Linked DNA regions of Rattus norvegicus. The protein of the gene in region 4 purifies or fractionates together with the protein of the main gene of each other region. This does not show direct contact. Links are inferred from orthologs where the notes say so. Each region holds a gene or a part of one and is shown on either strand. Other genes may lie near its edges.

What was found. The genes of interacting proteins can lie anywhere in the genome.
Region 1: the proteins of Sesn2 (region 4) and Sqstm1 purify together in Homo sapiens (affinity purification with western blotting; 3 studies listed by BioGRID and IntAct, with this or other methods). This does not show direct contact. The link is inferred for Rattus norvegicus from reciprocal best matches to the Homo sapiens genes SESN2 and SQSTM1.
Region 2: the proteins of Sesn2 (region 4) and Wdr59 purify together in Homo sapiens (affinity purification with western blotting; 4 studies listed by BioGRID and IntAct, with this or other methods). This does not show direct contact. The link is inferred for Rattus norvegicus from reciprocal best matches to the Homo sapiens genes SESN2 and WDR59.
Region 3: the proteins of Sesn2 (region 4) and Mios purify together in Homo sapiens (affinity purification with western blotting; 5 studies listed by BioGRID and IntAct, with this or other methods). This does not show direct contact. The link is inferred for Rattus norvegicus from reciprocal best matches to the Homo sapiens genes SESN2 and MIOS.

The regions. Positions count from the first base shown.
Region 1 is NC_086028.1:35,026,924-35,031,970, reverse strand, and holds part of Sqstm1 (sequestosome-1), read left to right. Parts: intron 1-2,529; coding exon 2,530-2,750; intron 2,751-2,952; coding exon 2,953-3,148; intron 3,149-4,578; coding exon 4,579-4,736; 3' UTR 4,737-5,047. UniProt on the Homo sapiens protein: Molecular adapter required for selective macroautophagy (aggrephagy) by acting as a bridge between polyubiquitinated proteins and autophagosomes.
Region 2 is NC_086037.1:56,336,869-56,341,915, forward strand, and holds part of Wdr59 (GATOR2 complex protein WDR59), read right to left. Parts: intron 3,823-5,047; coding exon 3,689-3,822; intron 3,017-3,688; coding exon 2,935-3,016; intron 829-2,934; coding exon of another isoform or gene 646-828; exon of another isoform or gene 1-645. UniProt on the Homo sapiens protein: As a component of the GATOR2 complex, functions as an activator of the amino acid-sensing branch of the mTORC1 signaling pathway. The GATOR2 complex indirectly activates mTORC1 through the inhibition of the GATOR1 subcomplex.
Region 3 is NC_086022.1:37,243,065-37,248,111, reverse strand, and holds part of Mios (GATOR complex protein MIOS), read right to left. Parts: intron 3,516-5,047; coding exon 3,346-3,515; intron 1,370-3,345; coding exon 1,304-1,369; intron 386-1,303; coding exon 227-385; intron 1-226. UniProt on the Homo sapiens protein: As a component of the GATOR2 complex, functions as an activator of the amino acid-sensing branch of the mTORC1 signaling pathway. The GATOR2 complex indirectly activates mTORC1 through the inhibition of the GATOR1 subcomplex.
Region 4 is NC_086023.1:149,987,809-149,992,855, reverse strand, and holds part of Sesn2 (sestrin-2), read left to right. Parts: intron 1-519; coding exon 520-670; intron 671-1,101; coding exon 1,102-1,220; intron 1,221-1,502; coding exon 1,503-1,693; intron 1,694-4,540; coding exon 4,541-4,685; intron 4,686-5,047. UniProt on the Homo sapiens protein: Functions as an intracellular leucine sensor that negatively regulates the mTORC1 signaling pathway through the GATOR complex. In absence of leucine, binds the GATOR subcomplex GATOR2 and prevents mTORC1 signaling.

The DNA of each region.
Region 1 (5,047 bases), on a different chromosome or scaffold from region 4:
GTTGAAGTGGCAGTTTCAATTGGGTGGTAGCTGGGAGAGAATCAGGGCTCACTTTAGAGGGGAAGGAGTTGGCACGCACTCCCAGAAGGCAGAGGTTGGGTGAGCCAGAGCTAGGGCCTGTTATTGATTGGTAGGTGGTATGAGAACCAGCCAAGGAAGAACTGGCATGTGGGCACTGTGTGGCTCGGAGGCTGTGATCACTGGGACACAGGGCCTTCCTTCACTGGTTCTTTGAAAACCTTAGGCTTTGGGGACAACAGGTCACAGACTGTCAAACAATTTTCCTAAGCTCTGCAGTCTTAGGGATTTATTATTTGAGAAATCCCTAATCTACAACCCTCGTGCTCCTGCTCTGCATGTACTTAGAAAACTGGGTGTGGGTGTTGGGGACCAGCTCGAGAGACATTTTTATTGGCTTGAACATTTTAAGAGCTCTGGAGATTGAACCCAGAGCTGTATGGTAGACAGGCACCCCATCGCTGAGCAACATTTCACCCACATGGTAGGGAAAACCTGGATCCTGTAGGTTCTCCTCTGACCTCCACATGCACATAAATGATGGTGGTGGTGGTGGTGGTGGTGGTGGTGGTGGTGGTGGTGGTGGCGGTAGTGGAGGAGGAGGAAGAAGAAGACGAAGAAAAGAAGTAGTTCAGGTAACCTAGGTAACCTTTATAAGAAGCAAGACCCTGCTGGGTACGATGGCACCTGCCTTTAGTTCCAGCACCAGGAAAATAGGTAGAGCTCTGAATTTGAGGCCTACCTAGTCTACATAGAGAATTCCAGGCCACCGGGAGCTATGCAACGAGAACCTGTGTCAAAAAAACAAAAACCCATGGCAAGACCTCCACCTGCTACTGTGAAGGAAGGATGGGAGTGACAGGCCAAGGGACAAGAGAGCAAGCAGCTAGAAAACCTTTCATAAGAGTTTGTTAGAGCTGGGCTGTGGTGGACCATGCAGTTGAAAGGCAGAGGCAGTCAGATCTCTGTGAGTTAGAGGCCAACCTGAGTGAGTTTCAGAACAGCCAGGGTTACACATACACAACCTGTACTTAGGACATGAGTGAGCTCCAGAGCAGCCAGGGTTACACATACACAAATTCTGTCCTGGAAAACAACAGAAAGAGTTGGTTAGAGAGCTCCAGGCCCCCACTCAGCCAGCTGATGGCTTTCATGTCCAGTACGTGATGCACCTGACCTTTCTGCTACACAAGCTAAGGCACCAACCTGGAAATGGGCATCAGGAACGAGCAAAGGGACAAGTGGCCCAGCATTTCAGCCTCACTGGCCTGACAACAGCTGAAGAATCCTTGCTGAGGGGAGGCCAAATGCTCTAACAAAGAACACCAGCTCCTGGTAGCTGGGTTTTCTTGGTGCCTGCCTCTGGAAGCTGACAATGGTCCTGGTCCTGCCAACAGTGTCTTGCTGGTGTCTTTAGGATCAGAAGCCGTGGACCACTATCTCACAGGGTCAGCCCTCTGGGAACTCCACCTTTGAGTAGTCAGGAACCTTTGCTAGAAAATGTTATGGGTAAGTCCCATGTGCCTTGGGGAGGGCTGACCACTGAGTATGCTCTCCAAGGAACAGCCAGACCTGATCGGCGCCTGACAGCCATGAACCACAAAAAATGTAAAAGCCTCTGGAGAAGACTCAGGAAGCTGTGATACAGAAGGGGAGATATAGCCTTGACAGTAGAGAGAAGACAAAAGCCCAGTGCAAGCAACATCCACACATTTACATAGTGTTACATAGTTTTTTATTTGTTTTAAGCCAAAGGTTGTCTCTTAAAAGGACAGGGAAAGGAAGGTAAATATTGACAGGGTAGGAAATAAACAAATGTGAACTTGAACCAGGGGGACTAGGACTGTGGGGGTTGAAAGGCCCACAGTGGGACTCAGGTGGGTTGGTGTGTGGTTGGGAAGGAACTGGTGAAGCTGTGGGGTGCTGTCCTTTGGTTCATTTATTAGAAAAGCAGCACAAGTGAACCTGTGTCCCTAAGCCCTCACCACAAACATGTGCCTGCTGCTAGACTGGCTGGGTGCTCTCTAGCCTCAGGGCCACACACTGAGCTAAACATTGGAGTCCGGGTGTAATTGTCACTTCATGAGGCCTTGTGTGTCGTGGCCTCCAGCAGTCATGGCTAGGCATTCTGCCCATGTATAGTACTGGCCTGGCCTCTGCAGCCTGCTTTCCTATTGGGTTGGGAGAAACAGGTTCCTCCTGGGGGCACTGGTTTGGAGGAAGGGAAAGGGCTAAAGTGATGCATGGTGTGTTAGTTACCAAGGCTGGGATTGGGAGAAGCTCAGCTCTTTGTTTCTGGTCTGTGGGGTTGGCACATGGTCTGTCATGTCACCTAGTTATCTGGTCATATCTAGAGCTATGTGGCTATCCTTGTGCTGGCTGCTTGTGCCCTAGTCCGTATGCTTTGTTGGGGACGGAGTCTGAAAGCACTTCCTCAGCCCACAGATCCCAGATCCCAGAGATAGATGCAGGAAGGCCTCTGGATTTGACAGCTTGATTCCTTCTCTCTAGGCATCGAGGTTGACATTGATGTGGAACATGGAGGGAAGAGAAGCCGCCTGACACCCACCTCTGCAGAAAGTTCCAGCACAGGCACAGAAGATAAGAGTGGTACTCAGCCAAGCAGCTGCTCTTCGGAAGTCAGCAAACCTGACGGGGCCGGGGAGGGCCCTGCTCAGTCTCTGACAGAGCAGATGAAGAAGATAGCCTTGGAGTCGGTGGGACAGCCAGAGGTAGGTCTGCTAGCGTCAGCCTGAGGGGTCCTGTCCCTCCTGCTGTCTCTGTGGTGTGTGTCTTCAGCACCCTGAGCCTTACCTGACATGTATGAGGTCCCAGGTCTTATGCAGGCAGCTCTCCAGTGCCTGGAATGGGCCACACTTTGCTGGGACTTGTCAGTGGCTCAGGCCCTGCCGCTCACAGCAGGTTGTATTCCAGGAACTGATGGAGTCGGATAACTGCTCAGGAGGGGATGACGACTGGACGCATTTGTCTTCTAAAGAAGTGGACCCATCCACAGGTGAACTCCAGTCTCTACAGATGCCAGAATCGGAAGGGCCAAGCTCTCTAGACCCCTCACAGGAAGGCCCCACAGGGCTGAAGGAAGCTGCCCTGTACCCACATCTCCCACCAGGCATGTGGTCACCAGAGGTTTCCTTTTCCTTCTTTGCGTTCAGTGTCCTGTCCTGTCCTGTCCTGTCCTGTCCTGTCAACACAAAAGAGGTAGCCTGGCTTGGGGGTTAAGGTGGTGCCCTAGTCTTTGAGTGCTCCAGGTGGCTTGTCTTCAGGACATGACCTGCAGTGACAGCTGTCACTGCCAGCTGACATTAGAGAAAACTAGAACGTGGTTCATACTCCATCGGCATCAAGCAGCAGTAACCTCATCTCATTTTTAGGAATTCCTAGATGTCAGTGCCCAGGGGTTCTGAGAAGGCACATGGGACAGGGAAGGCAACGCTGGCTTTGCGTGGCTACCAGCTATGAAGTGGACTCAGACTCTGTACACCCTTTCCTCGGGGGTGGGGGTTGTAAACCTTACTGGCAGGTACCACAGCCAAGGCCCCAGTGGAAGCCAGACTGAAGTTTGTGTAAAGTGCTGGACAGGGATGGGCAGTCCCAAGTGGATGCCCCGTGGAAGAGGCAGCTGGCTACCCCAGAGCAACAGGGTTTAAGTGGGTGGTTCATCTCTGGGCCACATCTGGTGTTTGGGCTTCAAAGAGTATTTTCTTTGCAAAGAGCAGAGGCAGCAAACCGTTGCATGGGTAAGTCTGGGGGAGGTACTCTGTCATGGGTTCAAGGCCACCCTCTGTACCCCCATGACAGACTGCTTAGCTTAAATGTGCAAGGCTCTGGGATGGAGTCACAGCCTGGTTTAAAAACAAAACAAAAACAAGGCAGGGTTATGGGAGCTATAGAACTGGCTCATTGGGTAAAGTACATGCAGGAAGGCCCAGAATTTGGGTTCCCATAACTCGTGTAAAAAGCTAAAGGTGAGCATTTGTGTCAGCTGTCTATAGTCCCAGCCCTTAGGAGGCAGGCAGACTCCCATTACAAGTTGGCTATGTGATTGGGTAAGCTATGGGTTCAGACACCCTAACTCGATCAAGTACAGAGCAATAGAGGAAGAGCCTTACTTCGGCTCTGGGCCTCCACACTTTCACACATACATGTGCACCCACATGGGAATGAATATGAGTACACATGCTACATATGCCAAATAATAGAGGGAGGAGTCAGAGAGGCAGTTAGAGATGGACATTTCATCATCTGTAAAGGGTTAGTTTTGAGATGGTGTCTTGTTGCCTGCTTCCAGCTCGAGTGTTGGGATTACAGGCTTGAGCAGAATTAACTGCACTGTTTTGTCTACATAGCTCCTGGCTGTTTTATGCTTCAATGGCAGGACCAACAGTTGTGACAAGACTGGAAAGTCTGCAAAGCAAGCTGTTTGTCCCTTCAGCCTGTGAGGGTTCCTGTAAGGCTGAAGCAGAGGGGTCTCCATGGCAGGTGGAGCTGCTCTGTTCTCAGTGCTGCGGGGCTCCTTACTTTCCTGTCTTGCTTTGGCAGAGGCTGATCCCCGGCTGATTGAGTCACTCTCTCAGATGCTGTCCATGGGTTTCTCGGATGAAGGCGGCTGGCTCACCAGGCTCCTACAGACCAAGAATTATGACATCGGGGCTGCTCTGGACACGATCCAGTATTCAAAGCACCCTCCACCATTGTGACAGTGCTGTGGCCAAGTCCCACAACCCACCTCCCTTGTCTTCTAGTTGCATCATGTAGAGTAGCAGGGCTTCTAAGGCCCAGTGTCTTGGCATTCTTCTAGAACCTTCAGGTGGGACTGTGAGGCCTTCTTAGGCAGTAGGAAAGTGCATGAGAAGAGAGTCTGAGTGTGCACATGCTGACCCCTGAGCACAGATCCAAGCAGCTGTGGCTGGGCTTCCGCTGCTTTCCCTCGGCCTGGCCTTTGCCAGGGAGCTGTGGAGTCATGCTGCACTCCACTTGCTCTTGCCGCCAGCATTGCACCTGCAGTCCA
Region 2 (5,047 bases), on a different chromosome or scaffold from region 4:
TTGGAGGGGAGACTACACAGTGAGTTTTACCCTAGCCTGCACTACACGGCAAACCCCATCTCCTCAAACTAAAATAAGTAAGGAAAACCTTCCATTAAGCAAGCTTCAGAGATAAACAGTATCACAACTCAAGGGGCCAGCTCTTCGGCACTCTTGGCCTCTTCTGATGCTTCATTGGTGAACTGGATTGGCAGAGAGCAGAGCAGTCCACAACCCACTGAGGACCTGGTCTTTGTGCAATGGCTAGAGAACACTGTCACCTCCATTACGAAAGTTTTAGGGCCCTCTTGAAGCTAAAGAACAGGCCAAGAACTAAACAACCTTGGCTTTGTTTATGTTGACATGAAGTCTGATAGTCACCCAGGCCTCAAACCTTATGGGGCTTAGAATCACCACACTAATGTCCATTAAATGTCTATTAAGCCCAAGGCCTTCACTACCCATCAGAAAGAGCCCCAACCCCTTGAGACCCTTCAGAAAATTGAATATTACTTTTGGAAAATCTCTTCTGTTTTGTTTGGCTCAGGAAAAGCAATACAGTCATTGGAATACACCACTCTAAACCCAAAAGGAAGAAGACACGAACTTTGAATCAAGTCTATAATTTGAGATGAGCAAGTAAATACAAATGCCAGAAGGCAAACATTAGATGTGTAAAATACTAGCGTGACGGCAACATGCTGAAAGCGACGTACAAGTCTCTCTCCAAGGAGAGACAGCAGGACAGATGTTCTGCCGTGGCTGACGATTGAGTTGTGTTAGTGTCTCCCTCCATAATGCACATTTCCTAAAGGGTTTCCACAGAAGGGCGCCCTTGCATTTGTTTCTCTGGTAAATGTGAGGGACACAAAACAGGAAGCATATCTTTATCAAAGGCAGGAAGAAAAACAATAAAATTCTTGGAGCACTCATTGTCGCTCGGGTAATTTCTGTCTTTAAACATCAAGTTATGAACAACAATCGCTGAACAGCTGTGGAAATATACAATACAGAAAGCAGGCATTTCCAGTGATCAGACGGCTAGAAGTCACAAAGTTTACTTCTTTTATTATCTAATGAAGTCAGAAGTATTGCACTGTTTATTTTATAGCAGGGACTCTGAGGCTCAGAAAGCCTGAGCAGCTTGCTGGGGATCACACACAGAAAAAGTGCTAGGGCCCAGAAGTCAAGCAGGGGGTGCCTGAAGACAAGAGTCTCCCCATCACTGAGACTGGTCTAGCTTTCTATACCAATTCTGTCAGAAAAGCACTGGGGGAGAGGGGGAGGAGCTAGGGAGAGGGAAAAGAAAAAGGAAGCAGGGGAGTGGAGAGAAGGAAGAAGAGAGAGAGAGAGAGAGAGAGAGAGAGAGAGAGAGAGAGAGAGCGAGCGCGCAGAGAGGTGCAGAAGAGAATAAGGAAGAGGGAGAGAACTCCCTACTGAGAGAATGTTCTGTTCTTTGGGGCTATGGAGCAGCCTTCACTGATCTCACCAACCCCATGGAGGAAATTCTTCTGGTTCTCACACTATAAACTCCCTCAAAGGCTGAGGGCCTGAGATAACTTGCCTGGGGTGTTTTCTAGGACTCTGAGCTGGCCTTGGCCTCCACTGTAAATTCCACGCTGTTCCTATTAGCTCATTTTGCCTTCTTAGTGTTCAGTCTGGTGGGTGGGGCTGACAGAAATAGATTAAATCCATGAGGGAGTTTTTCTTTAAAGGGTTTCCGGGAGAGATGATGTGATATTCATTACTAGATGAATGGAAATCTTAGGGATGTTTTTAATCAAATGAAAATCAAGAAAAGGCCTTAGTGTTGATTCATTTAGTTATGAGGGAAAGCAGTGAGCTGCTGGGAGACCTGCTAGTCACTTCCAAAGCTCAGTCTAGCAATCAACTAGAGAACAGAGAGAAAGAAAGACAGGAAGCAGTTGGCGGTTGCCCAGGACTGATGGGAAGAACCGACTGAAGGACAATGGTTTCTTCTATGGATGATAAAAAACACTTTGAGCAGTTTCTAATGAGAGCTCTGACAACACTAGATACACTAAGTATCACATTTTAAGTGGGCAGACTCGTGATGTGCAGACTGAGTCTCAATAAAAGAGAACAAGCCATGAGAACCACAGAGATGAAGGAAACTGACATCTTATAAATGTCATATATTATTATTTAAATATTTACTACTATGTTAAAAGCAAGAATGTTTTGCCTTCGGGTATGAATATCATGCACATGCCTGGTGCCAGAGGAGGACGGAAGAGGGGGTTGGATCCCCTGGAACTGGAGTTAGAGATGTGAGACACCACACGAGTGCTGGGAATTGGCCTTCTATCAGAGCAGCCAACGCTCCAGCCACCTTTCCATCTCTCCAACCCCCTGAACTGAACATCTCTACCTTGAAATACATTCTGGTAAACCTTATGAAATATTTTTTTAAAAGTTTCAAAAAGTAATTGAGGTGAAATGACAAAGGTACAGATCCTCAAATTTAGGTGACAATAATCACTGTGGCATTGAAATAGAAAGTTTAAGAAAAAAAAGCCACTTCAGGATCTTCCCACAATTTTAAAAAATTACCCACAGGTGGCAGTGGTGGGGCTTCCCTATAATCCCAGTACTCAAGAGGCAGAGGCAGGCAGATCTGAGCTAGAGGCCAGCCTGGTCTACAGAAGAAGTTCCAGGAGAGAGAGAAAGAGAGAGAGAGAGGAAGAGAGAGAGAGAGAGAGAGAGAGAGAGAGAGAGAGAGAGGGGAAGGAGGAGGAGGAAGAAGAGGGGGAGGAGGAAGAAGAGGAGGAGAGGGGACAGGGGACAGGGGACGAGGGAGGAGAGGGAGGCTGCTGAGTCCTACAGGCTGTCAAAGAAAATAAAAAAGAAACTTCAAATAGGGGGCACACGCTATGAGCATCACTAACTGACAGCTGTCAAGGCCAGAACCTCGCCAACAGGGAATGATAATACCTGGACGAGATCCTTCCTTCCAACAAGCATGGCAGAAGTAGCATTCTTCTGACACGTCTCCTGAGTATCGTTCACATTCAATCTGAAATTAAAACAGAAAAGACTAAGAAGGTTTCTACTCGAATTTCCCAAGAATTCCTCCTGATTTAACAGCCTAGAAAGTGCCTCTTTGGTTGTCACTCACGACACCTCCTCTGACAGGGAGGGAAGGGTTAATTAGATCTGGTGCTATAGGGCTGTGGGTTCCCCCCTGGGGGACCAGAAACACCCACCACTTTCAGGAGGTGGCAATAAGAAAAATACTAATTAGCTACCAGCCTTTCTGTTGAGTTCACAAGGTCTGGGATTTAAATATGTGCAAACCAACTGTGATTTCCATCAGAAAAGTATTGTGCTGGGAGTATTCTGTTATGTGTTCAAGGACCTGGAGGACCTACAGGCCAGCCTCCACTCCCTACTGTCTTTCAATACGAGAAGGATTTAACAATACAAGAAGGGTCTAAGTCCAGGCTTGCTGGACCCTGAGCATCGGAGGAGACCATTTATGGGCCGAGGTCATGCTTTCAGTCAGGTGAGAGCCTGTACCTGACCTGCAGAGACAGTGAGGTAGGAAATGAAGCCACAGTCTGGTAATTTGTGAGTCACCAACAGAAAGCTAACACACCCACCGTGTTTCCCCAAATCATCCAAAGCTTTAAAAAGACCCGCAGGTCCTAAGGGACACGCTCGGTGTCATCTGTGACCTTGGACTTACATGTACAGCTCTCCCAGGGACTTGTGAACAGGAAGGAGGCACGAGACATCCTGGATGATGACCTTCCCAGCGGCCTTAATGGGTCGGTTGCCAGAGTCGGAGCCCTCCCGCTTACTTTTCCACCGCCTTGATTTCTAGGGGAGATGACAAGATGTGACTAATGGGGCCTCCGGAGAGTGGAAACCTACAGTTGCAGAGTACATCATATTTGGGTCATTGGTAATTTGCAGAGACTCTAAATTACATCATGCCCACAATTACATGAATCAGCATCTGTAGGAAGTAAAAGGTAACCAAAGGCCCAGAGCTCCTGACCCCAGACCCTCACAGGGAACGGAGCACCTGCTGGAGGGCCATTACGCTGGGCAGGTATTCAAAGCAGGTACTAGGAAGCCAGAATTAATTAACTTAAAAACAGCAGGTAAAGAAGTTAGTAAAGACCCCCCACAAATGGGATGGGGGGGCTTTAGGGTGTTCAGTACTAGGTTTAAAGTTCTTGCCTGAAACGATTCAAAGACTTTTTTTTTTCTTCGTAGACAGTTCAGGAGGGTTTGTTGGTATTTTAATTCAGACACGACAGTGTGGGCTCTGCAAACTTTAACGTATGAAGACAGAGACACTTGGCAGCATAAGAATTGCCTTGTTTTTGGAGCAGGCCTGAATTATTTCTACAAGCGGTCATTTCTGAAGGTCAAAGACACTTAGTTGGGGAAACTGAGTAAAAGACATGGGAGACCATGGGCACGTTTCGGCTCCCAGAGCTGTCCCGGGAAGTGGCTGTGAGGAATGAGAAATGTCCTGGGAAACGGAAAGTAACAGTGTCGTCCTATCTGGTATCTTCAAAAGGACAACCAGTCATGGGAGCAATGTCCTATTTTATTTCCAAAAGTTGAAAGAGGTCACCAAAGTCACTTGACTGAGTAAGGGAGCAGCACATTTATTAACAGGAGAGGCATAAGGACCAATTAAAAAGGGGCTTACAATCTGACAGCAGAAAACTAAGGTACAAGCGTTCTGGCTTAATATGGCCATAGGCAATTTAACCCTAGTTAATCACTTGCTGTGGATTTAGTCTCATGCCCGGCAACCTTCCTTTTGCTTCTTGGTAACCTGTGGCTATCCAATCTCATGAGGTCAGTAAGGGTAGAGTGAGAAGACAAGAGATGCAGACTGCATCAGCCTAACACTGCAACCTGAAACACTGCAGGCACTGTGAGTGCGTGGTCGGGAGCCATCGGCATCTACCTTTCCACTCCTGGGTTTGGTATAACTACTCCTTCAAGAATCCATGTCTAGGGGTTGGGGATTTAGCTCAGTGGTAGAGCGCTTGCCTAGCAAGCGCAAGGCCCTGGGTTCGGT
Region 3 (5,047 bases), on a different chromosome or scaffold from region 4:
AACTCAGACACAGCCAAGACCGGTATTTCGGACTACAAGAAAAACCTGGATAAGCTAATGAGGTGATTAGGGCCAGTAAGATGAAACACACTGTCAACAGAACGATGCAGTCAAAGTGCAAACTCAAAATCCATGTGTAGGGGGGAGCATATGGCCTTTAGTGAGGAAACACGGATCATGTGGAATGAGGCCGGGTTTTTTGAAGCCAGTGTCACCCCACACTAACCTGTAACATGCAGTAGCTTGCTGTTTGGACATCTCCAGTTCTGTCCACATAACTCTCCATCAGGTCCACTCCATCTTTAGTGAGGCCGGTCAGCAAGATGCCTTCCAAATTCCCAGCCTCTTTCATTTCATTGGTCAGCTTTTCAATGTATTTATTTAACTGAAAAATTCATAGTGATTGTTCTGATACAATCTGTTTCACTACATATTTTATAGCTGAGAATTACTATATTTAGAACAATTTTATTCTTGATGGAAATGATTTTAGGTCAGAAACCCTTGCCAAACTCTAATATGTGCTGAGAAGTCTACATCAATTTCAAGTTTCAATATAGTATCTATCCACAATCAATTTAGTTTTGTGTGGCATGTGTGCCCTAGGACAAGTACACAATGCTGTACTCAGGTTTTTCACGGGCTCTAGGGGATTCAATTCAGGTGCCTTGAACTTGCACAGTGAGCACCTTAATGACAGTGCTATCTCCCTAGTTCCCACAATCACTTAAAAAACTGTAGGACATTTCCTATGTTTATAGGTGGCTAATGAGAGAAATGTCCTCTTTTCAGCAAGTTCTTGTCTATTATGGTAGTATATAACAGTATCACAGAATCAGAACTATATGTTTATAATCATCAATAAAAACTATTTCCTTTCCACAGTCTCACTTCATCCCATGCAAACTCCAGCCTGCATTCCTCCACATTTCCCTATCACCTGTCACTATTTACAGCACCGCTAGCCATCTGTGTGCATTCCATCCTCACTACCCTCAGAGGCAGCAGGTAAGTGTGAATATACTGAAAACGGTTCCTGTGTATCACATTACTAAAACCTGAGTTTAAAATTTGTATCTGCTGAGTTTTCTTCAAAATGCAAAAATAAACTAAAACATCAACTCAACATTCTAAAACAAATTTAGTTATTACATGCCTATTTATAATTTCAATATAATAACTGCCTTCTTAGATTTTATATAGAAATCTTATAGGCACATAATTACATGTAAAGATTAGTTTCTTAAGAATAATTCATAGTAAACATTAATCATCTCAAATATAGATTTGAATCAGTTCTCACCTGAGCATCACCAAGGAATTTACAAGCAAATGCCACTCTGTCCCGTACAGCAACTTTGTTTTCATACTGAGGGGCGGGGAGGGGGGAGAGGAGGAGATAATTATACATGCCATTTATTTATAAGTTTATTTTCAAATGTATTACAAAGGTACTGATCAGATGCTGAAAAAAATCAATTGCCAAAGAAGCCTTTCTGATGTTATCATTAGGAAACACAGTACAAAGGTCATTGTCCTGAACAGTAAAGATTTATCTTTCAAACAGACCTACCTAATTCAGTTATATAGATGTAAAAAAGCAGGCCGTTTTCTAACACTAACATAAACTATAACTAGATGTCATGTAATTTCTCTCAAAGCAATTAATTTTAGAAACAGCTACATAAAAATTAGTCACCAAACCTAGAAAAATCTATGACCTGGGTATACCAGTACAGATTTAAAATATTAATAACTTGGGGTTACAAAGATGACTCAGTGGTTAAGAACACCGGGTACTCTTCCAGAGGATCCCGGTTTGATTCCCCAGCACCCACATGGTGGCTCACAAACACCTGCAACTCCAATTCCCAGGGATCCAATGCTTACATCTGGCTGGTCTCCTTAGACAATACTAACATATGGAGCAGACATACATCCAGGCAAAATGTGCATACACATAAAAGAAAAATAAACCTACCTTTTAAAAGCCTACCTATAACTCTTAATGCAAAACCTAAGACTTGTAAACTGACACCCTGTCTCATACTGCTATCTGAGTGGTTTGCAATAGGATAATTAGAGGTAGCATTTTATTCATCAACATTATTTGAAAATTTACTTTGATAATGTTACTATAAATTTAGAAAGTTCCAACAAATTTTGCATTAAGAAAAAATTAATTTATAGGTAGCAAAAAGATGGCTTTCTATCAAAGTCTTTCTTTGAAGGAGTTTTCCTTCTTAAAATCTAATATTCTTTTCATTGATACTCATTACCGTTCCTCAATTATAAAATGAAACTCTATCTTTAAGAAGTGAGTAAGCTCTTCGACTCAGTTGCATGTGCTACAAAAACAAATGGGTTTATCAAAAAATTGGGTCCATTTTATATCTGAGAAAACTAGAGCCCTAAAAGTTAACTGAATAGCTAAGGTTAAACACTGTGGCAGAATAAAGACTTGAGCCTTTTCTGACTTCTAAAGTCAGTATGTATGTACTTATGGTAAAATATAAAAAAATAAAATTACGTAGACATTAAATTAAATACATTCTTAAAAAGTTTGGATATATGAATTTCCTTCTCAGCTCTCGCTGTGGGGATAAGAGAAGGGATCTTATTATAGGTCACTAATTAAATACAGAAATGTAATATTTAAACATTAAGCAATCAGTTCATTTCCTTTTCGACTCTATCACTCTCTAGCTCATGCTGAAAGTTTACTGTTAGCTCAAACACAACAATTAAAATCTTCTGTTTAACAAATGTAGTAATAAGTTTATGATAAATCAATAAAATATATGCTTTTACAGATCTTATAGAATGACAACCACTGAAACAATATACGTCTTATAAACCTTAATAAAGAAAGTTCTTTTCATTACTGGAAAGATGACAAACAGTACAAAGCAAAGTGGCTTTAATGTTTTAAGTTAACAACTGAAATGGATAGGGAAACCTCACTTCATTCTTTCCTCAGTTATGACAAGGGACATGTGACATGTTTATATAGTGACTAAATCAGGAAAGAAACAAAGAGACCTGAAAAACTGAATAAAATACAGATTAGTATAATTAGCATGATTACATGGTTTTCCAAACAGGACTTGTCTCAAAATGACTGTCTATTTAAGATGTAAAGACACCTTAGCCAAAACTAACTGAGTGAACATCAGCTGTCCTCGCATGCAGGCACGCACACAGTATTAAAACAGTAAATACATGTTATGTGTTTACAGTTGTTTTTCGGTAAAGCGTGAAACAGTTTTAGTACTGTATTAACAAAACTATAAAAAAGCAACCCTATTAATTTAAAGGAGGATCTGGGGAAACAAACTAACTCACCAAAACTCCGTCATAGGCCCCTGCTTCACTTGTCAGAAATGCAAACATGACACACAGATAGGGGTTGTTGAGCTGCAAGCGTAGTGTGCTGCACATCTCCCTCCACAGGGAGTTCTTCTCGTCCGTATACCCTGATAAAGCCATTGCCACCACATTGAGATTCAGATCTCCTGCAGGTTAAGAGTACACAGCTAGTCAAAGTTAACAGAAGCTTAAGAGCCCCCTTCCCCATAGTTCTTAAATCCTCAACAGTGACCAAAGGGTGAATTTGCATAAAAAATTAAAACTGTTAAATTTGGTTGAGTACAAAGAAAAAATACATTCTTAAAAACAACTCATATACACATGCATGAAAAGACTGTGCAGTTAAGTACTTTCCCCCACAGTACTGGAGACTGAACTCAGAATCCCACTGGCATGCTCTACTGAACTACTTCCACAGCAGCGAGAAATGGTTAACTTTCAAGTTCTTGGTCCAGCAGTTTCTTATGCTGTTGTACAATTACCTGGTATAGAAATGGAAACAGTGACACCACCTCACTAAAATCCCTGCCAGCGGTACCAGGAAGGTCATCACGCTATGGCAGAGTATTGAAAGTAATGCTACTTTACCACATGATCATAATTGCAAAGGTTTCTTTTTTCCTACTTCTAATGATATCCTGATGTACAAAGAGTCAACTGGAGGAAAAAACAGTATTTTGGTATTTTTATTTTAATATACTTAGAAAAACTTCTAGGCCAAAAAGAGCTATCAGAATTGTCACAAAACTGCATGTAGACACGTTCACACAAAGCATTCCTTACCAATGACTTTTTTTTTTAAAGATTTATTTATTTATTTTGTGTATGAGTACACTGTAGCTGTCTTCAGACACACCAGAAGGGGAGGGACATCAGATCCCATTACGGATGGTTGTGAGCCACCATGTGGTTGCTGGGAATTGAACTCAGGACCTCTGGAAGAGCAGTCGGTGCTCTTAACCACTGAGCCATCTCTCCAGCCCACCAATGACTTTTTTAAACAGTTGTTCCGGGTGGACAGTGCTGCTATGAAGCTGTCAACCAGCTCTTCAGTTCTGCATGGCCTTCTAAGCTTCACTCCACAGGAGAAAGCTATGCTCTCTGAAACACAGCCTTTCTTACACTTTTCTTATGGCTCTTGATTCTAACCATTCTTCCATTTCTAATTAAAACAATACTCCCACTTTCTGTTCTTAATAGCCTTATTATTCACTTTTACAAAAATGCCTAGTCTACTATAAAGTTTGAAAATCTTTTAAACTGAAAGCATACAAATACCAAACTTTCCAGGTATACATGATAAGAAAGTATTCTTTCAGGTTGCAGCAAAATTAAATTAGAAATAGAATCCCTCTGGGGGTAGAGGGTGCTGCATGCTGATCCCACAGTCTCATATATGTTCTTCTTTTTTAATGGCACTACATACCTCTCAAACTGTCAAGTACAGAGGCTTTCCCTGAAGCACAAGCAAAGACGCTCAGGGCAAAGCATTAACTTTTTTAACTTTAGAATGAAACTAAATATATTACAGTCAATTTTATGTTTTTTTTAGAATAGAATAAAACTAGAATGAACTAGAATAGGTTAAAAGTTGGCCAGAACAAGTAAGAATTCAGTACTCTAAGCACTCAGAAATAATTTTCTACATGTATTAAATATAAATAGCAATATACCCTTT
Region 4 (5,047 bases):
CAGGCTAGCCTCAAACTCAGATGATTACCCTCACTCTCCCGTCCCTGTGAGCCAGCGTGTCTGACATTTTTTTTTTTTTTTTTTTTTTCTTTTTTTGGTTCTTTTTTCCGGAGCTGGGGACCGAACCCAGGGCCTTGCGCTTCCTAGGGAAGTGCTCTACCACTGAGCTAAATCCCCAACCCCCTGACATTTTTTTTTTTTTTTTTTTTTTTGCCCAGTTGACCATACAAAATTTGGGCTTTGATTATAACTCAGTGCTCGCCCCAGCCTGTTTGTGGCCCTACAGTCACTCGGCAACAGCACAAAAGCCAAACAGGAACTGCCACAATCCCAGCACCTGGGAGGCAGAGGCAGGCAGAGCTCTGTGAGTTCAAGGCCACTGGTCTGCTTTGTGAGTGTAGATTCACAGGCTAGCTACGTGAGCTGCCCAGTGTGGTGGCCTGGGGTGTGGAGGAACGGAGTGGAGTCTCCCAGAGGGCCATGAGGGAGTAGATGGTAATTACTGGGTCCTTCCTACAGGGCTTTGAAGCCGCCCGTGACATAGAAGCTCTGATGGAACGCATGAGGCAGCTTCAGGAGAGCCTCCTGCGGGATGAGGGGGCTTCCCAGGAGGAAATGGAGAACCGTTTTGAGCTGGAGAAGACGGAAAGCCTGCTGGTGACCCCCTCAGGTACAGGCTCACAGGCGCCAGTGCTAGGGGCTGCTGCCTCTCTCTTTACACTTCTGATGGGAGCAGATGCCTCCACACGCTTTGCCTTCTCCTTTCAAGAGGTTCTGAGCACCGGCCTTGTGTTCAGACTTGCCTTTGAATCCTGGTCTGTTAGCGCTTCAGGGCTTGGGTGAGGTAGATGGGCCAAGTTTCTTCCCCAGATTGAGCCATTCTATAAAACTGACACTATTACTGTTGCGGGGGGCTAGGGGGCTGGTTTGACGCTTGCCTCCTTCCAGCGGCTCTAGCTAACACCCTCCTACTTAGTGTGGGGAGGGGCTCTCTGTGGCCCCTGCTGTATTCCCCCCCTCACCCTCCCCACTCCCTGATGGTGGGGATCCTGTTGTGTTCTGCCCAGTCTCACTGTCCCCTCTTTCTGATGTGGCCCTCAGCGGATATTCTGGAGCCCTCTCCACACCCAGACATCCTATGCTTTGTAGAGGACCCCACGTTTGGATATGAAGACTTCACTCGTCGAGGGACTCAGGCCCCCCCAACCTTTCGTGCCCAGGTGTTGTTCATTGTTTCAGATGTTATACAGACGTGGGGGCAGGTACTTCAAGCGGTCCTAAGTAGGATACTGTCTCCCCTCAAAAACTCGTGAGGGCAGTGGAGACCCGAAAGGTCCCTCTTGTGGGATGGGAGGTCATCGCCCAGGTTGAGATCTGTGGTTGAGGGAAGGCATATGAGGCAAAGCTAAGGTGTGACTCCTACTCGTGCAGAGGACAACAGATCTCTGGCCAGCCACGGCCTTCCCAAGTCTTGCTCACAGACCTCTTCCCCCATTCCTCAGGATTATACCTGGGAAGACCATGGCTACTCGCTGATCCAGCGGCTCTACCCCGAGGGAGGGCAGCTGCTGGATGAGAAGTTTCAGGTAGCCTACAGCCTCACCTATAACACCATCGCCATGCACAGTGGCGTAGACACCTCCATGCTCCGCAGAGCCGTCTGGAACTACATCCACTGCGTCTTTGGTATCAGGTGAGTACGTGCCCCGCCCCAAGCTCAGGTCGCGTGTGTCCCCCAAGTCTTCCCTGGGCTCACTGTCATTTTTAGTTCTTGTTGTCTTCTTGGCTCTAATAAAATTTCAGGCCACCACGTTTATGCCTTTGCAGGTTTAAAGCTAGTAAGAATGCTCAGTGCGCAGGCTCTGTAATACACTCTCCCAGGCATAACTAGGCTTTGCTCTGTTTGCTTATGCAGCACTCAGGATTGAACCCACGACCTTGTGCGTGCTAGACGGGCAGCACCCTTTGTTTTATTTTATTTTGTGTTGTTTTATGTCACTTTACTTTTTTTTTTTTTTTTTTTGGTTCTTTTTTTCAGAGCTGGGGACTGAACCCAGGGCCTTGCGCTTTCTAGGCAAGCGCTCTACCACTGAGCTAAATCCCCAGCCCCACTTATTTGTTTTTGATGTCTTGGGATGTCACCTCAACTAGCCTAGAACATGTATGGTTCAGGCTAACCTTGAACTTGGGACAATCCTCCTGCCTTAGCTTCTTAGCTGCTGGGCTTACAGACCTACTCCACCAAAGACGTACTCCAGCTTATGATTTCATGTTTTTGTGTGTGTATTCACACACCTATGCACATACAGAAACATGTGCATACGTATGTGCACGATACCCAGAGTCACGTGTAAATTTCCAATAGCGTTATCTTTTCTCACAGTAAATAAGGACAACACAGATATGCACAGCAGAGTACTTTAAATAAGGATATTTCCATTCATAATCTATTATGCAACTCGTGAAAATTATACCTGAGAGCCAGGCATGTGGACAGTGGTCATGTACACAGAATAATGTTGTGAGCTAAATTTTATCTTGTCAAGTCTTTTCCTGATTTCAAAACAATTATGTATATATTTTCTTTGTATGTTTGTGCGCGCGCGCGCACACACACACACACACACACACACACACACACACACACGTGTGTGTGTGGCACAACATATATGTAGAGGTCAGAAAGAAACTTACTGGAGTTGGTTCTCTCCACCATTTGGAGCCCAGGGATCAAACTTGGGTCATCAGTCTTGACGGCAAGCTCCTTTAACCATTGAGCCATCTCGCCTGTCCGCTGACTGGTTTTTGAGGAAGGCCTTTTTTAGAGTGATGTGCTATTTACTGTTGAGTATTGAGGGTTCTTCTCGAAGTTGATTTGGTTTTCCTTTTGTTCTTTTTCCCCCTTTCCTACCTCCTCCCCTCTCCCCACTGCCAAGAAGGAGTCTCAGAGGCTCTGTTAGCTCCCTGGGACCCCTCTGCCTCTTTGACCACCCTGGTGCTGAGATAATAGGCCACCACCACCCTCAGCAGTTTTTACTCTTTTTTTTTTTTTTTTTTTTTTCGGAGCTGGGGACCGAACCCAGGGCCTTGCGCTTGCTAGGCAAGCGCTCTACCACTGAGCTAAACCCCCAACCCCACTTTCATTTATTTTTATCCACGTGTCTGTGTCTGTGTGAGTGCATGCCATGCACGTGTGGGTGCCTAAGCTTTCCAGAAGAGGGCATCAGATCCCCTGCACCTGGAACCACCTGACATGGGTGCTGGAAACTGAACTTGTGTCCTCTGGATGATCGCCAAGTGTTCTTTTTTAAAAGATTTATTATTTATGTCTGTGAGGAGTGCTTTCTTTGCACCTCTGCCTTCATGGCAGAAGAGGGCATCAGATGCAATTACAAGTGATTGTGAGCCTATGTGGTAGTGGTACTTAAACTCAGGACCTCTGGAAGAGCTGACTATGATCTTTGTTTTTTTTCCGGAGCTGGGGACCGAACCCAGGGCCTTGCGCTTCCTAGGCAAGCGCTCTACCACTGAGCTAAATCCCCAACCCCCCAGTTTTTACTCTTATAAACACTGTCCACACTGACCACTCTCCCGCACACGGTGGAACAGAATCTAACCGAGGACAACAGGTGTTCTTATAGTTAAATGCCCAAAATAACATGACTTATCTAAGAGATATAGAGACAACTATATTGTTTGTTTGTTTGTTCTTGAGATGTCTCATGACAGCCCAGGTGAACCTTGAACTCCTAGCAGTCTGTCTTAGTGTCTCTAGTGCTGGGATTGTGGGTGTGAGCTGATTACCTGGCTCCTGGCTTTTTCTTCCTGTTGTCTTTTTTTTTTTTGGTTCTTTTTTTCGGAGCTGGGGACCGAACCCAGGGCCTTGCGCTTCCTAGGTAAGCGCTCTACCACTGAGCTAAATCCCCAGCCCCGTCTTTTCTTTTCTTTATTTCTTTCTTTTGATTGATTTATTTTTGTGTACACCTGCAATCTCAGCACTGGAAAGGCCAAGACAGGAAGATCAGGAGTTCACGGCCATCTGTGGCTATTTAACAAGTTCAGGAGCTGGGCTACAGGACTCTCCAAACAACTGTAAAACCCAGCGACACTCTTCAGGAGAGCGCCTAATTTTATTATTACCAGGCGTTTCCTTCCTGCCTTTTTTCCCATGCACACACATGAACGAGACCAGGGAGGGAGAGGGGAGTGGCTTCTCGACACTGCCAATTTGCTTGCTTCTGATGAACTCCATTTATCGTGTACCACCGGAGTATCTGCCTTTGCGGGTCCGTGACTGGAGACAGTCAGAGCTCGGTAGCGCATGCTTGTCAGCGTTACTTGGAGTGTTCCTCTACGAGCCTTGTCACCTATGACCCGTGATGTCAGCTGTTTTTCTAAGAGGAACCAGGCCTCTCACGGCTTCCTACCTTCTCCTTCTTCTGGGCACTCTGTTCCTCCTTCTATGGGGTGGGGGCAGGGGAGCCGGGCTGCTTCTGGGAGCAGACTCTGAGTAATGCTGTCGTGTCTGTCTGTCCATCAGATATGATGACTATGATTATGGAGAGGTAAACCAGCTCCTGGAAAGGAACCTCAAGATCTATATCAAGACGGTTGCCTGCTACCCGGAGAAGACGACCCGCAGAATGTACAACCTCTTTTGGAGGCACTTCCGCCACTCAGAGAAGGTGATGGCAGCGTGGGTGTGGGAGGGGCTGGAGAAGAGTCAGAGGTTAGAACCCGGTGAGGGCCACACTGTGGGTCTGTCCTACGAGGTGTGACACCCTGGCCTGTTATCTTTGTTCAGATTCGATTCTACGGTGTAATTTCAGACTTCAGTTAAATTGGGCAGTCAGGTGCCTGTCTTCCACAGGCTACGTGGGCATAGATGCAGATTTTTTTATTTGTTTGGTTTTTTATTTTTTTGAGACTTTTTTCTGTGTAGCCTCGACTGTCCTGGAACTCACTCTCTATGCCAGGCTGGCCATGAACTCTCACGAGATCTGCCTGCCTCTGTCTCCTAGGTGATGGGATTAAAGGCGTGTGCCGC